Kluyveromyces lactis: one gene and its partner. The protein of the gene in region 2 interacts with the protein of the main gene of each other region in a biochemical or structural test. Links are inferred from orthologs where the notes say so. Each region holds a gene or a part of one and is shown on either strand. Other genes may lie near its edges.

The links.
Region 1: the proteins of POL1 (region 2) and PRI1 are reported together in a solved structure, tested with the Saccharomyces cerevisiae proteins (2 studies listed by BioGRID, with this or other methods). The link is inferred for Kluyveromyces lactis from reciprocal best matches to the Saccharomyces cerevisiae genes POL1 and PRI1.

Annotation. Positions count from the first base shown.
Region 1 is NC_006038.1:1,024,667-1,027,525, forward strand, and holds PRI1 (DNA primase subunit PRI1), read right to left. Parts: upstream 1,889-2,859; coding exon 578-1,888; downstream 1-577. Other genes in the region: PRE1 (proteasome core particle subunit beta 4), read right to left, coding at 1-186; EGH1 (hydrolase), read right to left, coding at 2,220-2,859. UniProt on the Saccharomyces cerevisiae protein: DNA primase is the polymerase that synthesizes small RNA primers for the Okazaki fragments made during discontinuous DNA replication. In a complex with DNA polymerase alpha (DNA polymerase alpha:primase) constitutes a replicative polymerase.
Region 2 is NC_006039.1:1,129,454-1,133,391, reverse strand, and holds the start of POL1 (DNA-directed DNA polymerase alpha catalytic subunit POL1), read right to left. Parts: upstream 3,064-3,938; coding exon 1-3,063. Other genes in the region: SNAP receptor VAM3, read left to right, coding at 3,584-3,938. UniProt on the Saccharomyces cerevisiae protein: Catalytic component of DNA polymerase alpha, which in complex with DNA primase (DNA polymerase alpha:primase) constitutes a replicative polymerase. POL1 has a role in promoting telomere replication during interaction with CDC13.

The DNA of each region.
Region 1 (2,859 bases), on a different chromosome or scaffold from region 2:
AGCCTGGATATATTCAGCAAACTGTACTGTATCACCAGCTTCACCAGAGAACGACATTAGTGTGTGAGGGAGTAATTGTCTGGTCTTGTCATCTGAATCTTTCAAAATTGAAATACCCCTAGTTACAGCCTTTGAAGAGGCCAATATCACCGAATCCTTGACTCTTATACCTAATAGAACATCCATTGGGAGATTTAGTATAAACTTTGACTCTTTTCACTGTCGATAGACCCTATATTTCCCTGTTTCCTCCCTGATAAAGGTTTGCCACCGTAAGTGTATGTTCTTTTTGTCAATTGTATTTTAGTTAAACATTTTCAAACATCATTTAAAGGTTTTCCACTGTATGAAAGGTGACAATACACAGAGAGAGAAACAGACAAAGCGTTTTATTCGCAGGAATGAAGCCCAAGCTAGGCGCCAATTGTGGGGTGATAGTAACTAAGAATACACTTGTTGAATGTTTTTTATTTTACTGTTTTGTTTCAGGTAGTATCGATAAATAGGTATTGTTCTTATTTGTAAATATACATATGTATATATGTGCTTGATCATGCAAGACAGCTGAATTAGGCATTCAGAAGTCAATAGACGACTTGATATCTTCTTCACGGTCTCTCTTTTGTGAGGATAATTCTTGTTTGACCAACTTGTTGACATACTTTCCGAACATGTCTAGGTACGGTTGTAGTGAAGTGCGTTGCACTTGATTATCGTTAGTATCCATTTCGTTCTGTAATTTTATAAGTTTTGGTGCCATTTCTGGTGAGAACTCTTCTGTAATCGGTACACAAACGTTACCAGTGGATGGATGTATACAGAATGGAGCCTTGAGTAAATGGATGGTTTGTTTTGTGACTTCCACATCTAATTTAGGGTATAGCGTTTGGATGATGATATCTTCTTTACTCTCGCGTAGTCTCTGCAAATAATCGTGTTGTCTCTGTTTAGGAAAGCTACTTATTAGCTGAGACGCTATCACATCCATGTCCTTCCATTTTTCCTCACTTGATCTTCCAGGTTTGTTGGTCCATAGTTTCTTTAGCTGCTCAGATAGCTGTTTGTCGTGACAACTGGTAGCCAAAGATTTTATCGCTAGTTCATCATCTCTCCAAGTGTCTTGTTCCCTTAGAATGATTTCAACGAAATGAGGTTTCAAAATCTCCAGAGATCTTGATAGATGTGGATGCAGCGGTCTAACCAAATTCAATCTCTTCTCAATATTTCTATCCCTAACCACGTTCATATAATCCAACATGTTCTTCCTATGAGAATCCGTCATGACCCTGGCTCTCTTGTCACTAATCCAACAATGGGCACCACGTCTACCAGAGAAAACCCAAATGAACTCATCAAAACCGAAATCATTTTCCAAAGATGAATTGATTACTTTCATAGCTAATTTAATAAAGTGCCAACACTTGGGACACACTTGTGCCCCAGAACAACATGTTCTATAACTATCATAATCATCCATATCGATATCGAAAACTAATTCTTTCTCCATCGGTTTCATCTCAGTCTTAAGTAAAGAGTCGCGCTCCCTTGGCGGTTTATTGTACACTGCACCGATCTCAAATCTATCTGGATTAGCCTTCTGGATCTGTACTTTGAACTCCTGTACGCTGTTGAACGAATTATATCTTTTGTATGCACCAGATCTGAACGCCATCGCGAATTCTCTATTGATGATATCACGGCCTGGTTTAGGTGAATGGTTCAGCCATTGAAATATCTGCTTAAAAGGATACAGATGTTGATAGTAGTATTGCATATCTGATGAACTAGGTCCATAATTTGAAGGAGGAGTGTCACCTCCATATGGGGTAGTCGATGACGATGGTACAGTGGAAGAGCCAGGCTCAACGGCGTCAACTAAGGATGGCATGTCAAAGTTAGCGGTTAATATGAGTTGAAATTGCACTAGCAGAGACCGTCACAAACCCTTGGCGTTTGTCCTGTTGATTGTCTCGACAGTGTCAGTTCGAGCACTCATCGAATTTGATCTGATTCTTGTTTCAAAACGCGTCAATTTGAATTTTGATAAAAACTGCGATTTAGATAATGTGACGCCAAGGAAGTCACATGACGCCAAATGACAAAGATATGCACTGGCCCGCACGAAGAGCTAGTGGGAATGATGAGTATCTGGAACAAACTTATTATGTGTCTATTTATATGTGTGTGTATATATGGTACGGGAGCAAAGCTTAATCCTTTTATGAGATAACACAGCTGTCCTCATTTGCTGTCACATTGATTAAAGAAATGTTCAAAAACTGATGGCCAGGTTCGTGAATCCACTGTAGTATCTGTCTCTCAGGATCGTAAGTGAAATGGCCAGAGGAGGATTTCATTATAATGTTGTCAAGTTTGAAATGATATGCCGGCAGAAATATCAAAGATCTGTTACTGGAAGACGCGTGACCATGAATTTCCAAATCGTAAGTGCTGTTGAAGGGATCAAATTTTGCTGAAATGAAGGATCCACTAATCTTAATTGGAGATGGTCTCAAAACAGAATCTAATGCCCTGAACCCACTATAGTCTATTAGTGCAATGCCGTTATTTGCCGTTTTGAAAGTATTGGCTGATTTAGTTGATCTTGTTGATCCTGAAAGTGAAGAGAAAATTTCTGATTCCTGTAAGGATACCGTTTCACTACCAAGATGCGGAACTTCTACAGTCACTTTTTCCCTTTTAGCATCATCGGAACTCCAAAGTGAGAAATCTTCGTTATTCCATTGATCGCCCCATTGATGAGAGTTTTTCGAGCAATAACACCAAAGAGAAAATGATAGGTTGTTATTCTCCAAAGCGAATCCAATAGCATCCATAGCACTTGTCTGTGACGTATAT
Region 2 (3,938 bases):
ATTGTTTTGCTTGTCAAAAGTAACATTCAATGCAGCATACTTTTTCTTAGCATGCAACAGTAACCTTTTGAAGATGTTATCAATGTCTATTTCAAGCAAACTGTATCTTTCATTCACCAGCTTTTTAAAGTTTTCACCAATTTTGATTGCATCCATGTAATTGTCACAGCCAGTACTGATCATGACCGAATCGGTATCACCGTACACAACTGTTAGACCCAGACTCTCCGCTAATTGTCTTGTGTTCATGAGAATTTCTCTCCCCTTATTTGTAACTAACATTGCTAACGGTTTAGCATAAAATCTACTGTTCACATAACCCAAACAACCATACATAGAATTTGCCGTAAGCTTCAAAGCTTGCTGCCTGATATCATATTGGGCTTTTTTACTTGCGTCATTTTCAGTCTTCATTAGATTTTTCACTTCTCTACGTCTTTGGACCAGGTTGGCCAATAATCTTGGCAGTACACCTCGTGATTTTTCTCTTGAAGGCACATCTGGAAGTTCTTCATTATCCTGTGGATTCCTGTCAACAGTAGTGAAGCAAATATTAAACTCTTGAATGATAGATGGGTACAACGAATTGAAATCCATGACCAAGATATAGTTTTTATGCAAACCTTTTTCTGGTTCAAAGACCAACCCACCCTGATATTTTGATTTTTTACTGGACACTTGTGGCTCCATAGGATCTTCATTCTTTTGTTGTCTGTCTTGCTTCATTTGCCTTGTTTCTTTATCAGGAACAATGTAATCATTTCTGTTAAATTCATGAAGCAAAATATATTCATTTCTACCAGCTCTTGTACCACCCAAAGTCTGTCTCCATCCATTGCCTGCTAAATTAGTCAGTTGTTTGGTTAAAGAGAGAATTTGAATGCGGAATGCAACTTCTGCTGTTATAATGGAGTTTTCGATGTTTTCGCCTAGCGCTAGAAGCATCTGGGATTCATCTTCCTGATATATTGGGTTTAGGTAATTAATTTCGAGAGATTTTCTTTCAATACCGCAGGAAACTTGATACATTTCGTTTAGTTCCCAATTTTGACATTTTGGAGTTAGTGACTGACCCATTTCATTGGAAATGTCACATAACAACCTACCTGCAAATAAATCCCTAACTATGAACTGTGTCATACTATTATTATGTTTTCCAAACTTGTCTGGCCATGCTTTCCGCAGTCTTCTCCCAAAGACACTAAATTGAGGAATATTTAACTCATAAGCTCTGTGTGCCAGAACATCCAAGATGACACCTTCCAATCTATGTCCTATTATAACATCAGGATCATTTACCTTCAAGAGAGCACAGAAACAGTTTAATAACGTCTTTTCGTTATTGAAGAGACGCACATTTCCGGATAATTCTTTCTTTGATTTAGGTCCCAGAAGAGGTGGAAAAGTTGATCCTTGTGGAGGCCTTACTAGTGTCACTATTTCATTTGGTTTGAGATTTTGTGGAATTGATGAATCTTGAGATAAATTTTTGAAGACAGCCATACTTATAGCAACAATTTCCTGCTTGTTTTCTTTTGCATTCATGACGGTCTGAATAGACAATGATATACAGTTCAAGCTCGGAGATGATTTTTCATTCGTTGCTGAGATATGATTAGGTGAATCAATTTGAACCTCAATAGCACAATGCGAAGCGCCTTGAACTGCATCAAAATCGCCATCTGATATCTTAAGCCAGCAAGGGCCCATGATTTTCCTTTGGACAACAAAACTCTCAAAAAGGTTTTGGTTACCACCGAAGACGTGACTGAATGTATCTCCCTCAAGTTCAGCGGGAATAGTAATTGACTTGCATTTAGGAGTATCATAAGGTAACAAAACCTTCAAATACTCCGCTTCGTGTGGTATTCCTGGAAGTTCAAAGGCATACTTTTTCGTTTCAGGCTTAGCGCGAAGTGATTGTAAGCCATATTTATCCAATAATAGAGGTACAATTTCTTGGTGGACATCAGACGCTGTTTTACCCTCCTTAGGTAGAAAATACAGCTCTCTATTGAAACCATTGATTTGCGCCATTGCAGAGACTACTTGATTCTTTCTCGTTTTAACTTTACCAAAGAGAATCAAAGAAGAGTTGACTTCGGTAAAATCAGTCCAAAAAAAGTTAAAACTACCGGTCTCAGCGTCTACTACATCCTCTTTAGGTATTCTTTGTCTCAGTGATCCGGAAATTGATTCTGTTGCTTGTGTGGACCCTGTAGAAGTTGACAATGGGGTGTTAGGAGCAGTGACATATGTTGGCGAAGACGTTAATGGTGCTGTTTGAGCGCTGATATTCATCTGCCTTTGAGTAGCTATTGATTTGAATTTTTTTCTACCAAAGTGAATATCATCTTCGTCATCTTCACTGTCATCTTCGCTTTGATATGTCTTCTGCTTGCTCATTGAAGGAGAACTAGCCACATCGTTTAATAATGATTCAATATCGTGGTCCTCTTCCATTGAATCACAATCGATAGGATTAACGCTATCAGCTTTAAAAGGTACAACATCTTTACCTTTAAGTGGGGATGTATCTACCTGAGGGTGTTTATAGTTCATAGGCGTAGTATTTGCAGGTTGTTTTCTGGATATCGTTAGCTTCGGCTTCTTAACCAGAGGCTCTGCGTCAAATTCACTCAAAATATCATCAAATTCAGCAAGTGACACTTTCTTAGGTTTTTCTGTTGGCATTGTCATTTTTCTCTTGACATTTTGTTGCTTTATGATATCGCTGATGGTATCCTTACCTTTGTTATTCTTACTGGTCTTATTACGCTTTTTGCCTGACTTTGCATCAACACCATCGTCTTCATCAGAGTAGAACTCCTGACTTTGATCCCATTCATCTACACCACGATCCACATATCCACTGCCATCATCATCTTCAACAAAATCATCTCTTAACAACTCTTGTCTTTTCTTACTCCTATATTGATCCTCGTCAATCAAGTCATACACATTTTCTTCTTCCAGTTGTTCATCTAGCACATCCCTATTCGATTTATTATTCCTAGCTTTCTGCAATTTTTTGAGCAGTTCAAGTTTGTTCGCATTACTCATCCCGAGCTAGTGTTTTAATAGTGTAGGGTGGCAGTACGAACTACCCTAGTAATTTAGTTTTGTTGTCTTTCCTGGTTTGAGTTGCAAGAAGAAGATGATGAAGATGTTCTTACTTTTACGCGTTCTTTTTTTTTTTAAAGTTGTATCTATCTGCAAAGCACGCGTTCGAAATCTATGAACTTAATGGCACCAACGCTGAGACAAAGCGAGAGTGCATGAGAAGAAAAGCGAGCGAAAGATTGAGTGACAGTAGAATACCGACAACACTTGAGTGGTTAAACGGTGAAGCCGCTGAAGTGTTAGAGAGTGTGCGCTCCTCAATATTATGATACGAATTTCCATTAGTTGAACCAATTGGCGTTGGCTTGGAAAGAAAAATGGATCACATGACCTGTGGTTTAAGACTGTCCTCAATTTTAAAGTGCTCAAATTGAGGTTTGTGATCATTAACTGAAGGGAAGGATAACTGTTAAGGAAACAGCTGATAGCAGGACCCGTAAAGATAATCGCGTTACATCTGATGTCCTTTTATCAAAATAGTACTCCAAAAAAGGAGGACAATCGTGCAGATTCTAGTGGAAACGATGCGGTGCCTTTGTTGATAACACTAGAACAGAATATTCAATTACTCAAGCGTAAAGCTCATCTAATAGGGACAAGCAAGGACGGACAACTATTGAGGGTTGATATAAAAAATAGAGTAATCCCCGAAATCCAGAAAATTAGTCGAAAACTGGCTGACTTAACTTCGCTAGATACACAAGATAAATTTGCTCGAGATTTTCAAGCGTTAAGCAAACAATATAACAGTGTAAAGACCGATTATGAGAATAGGGCAGTACAGAATCCCATACCTGACGAAGAGAGTAAAGATA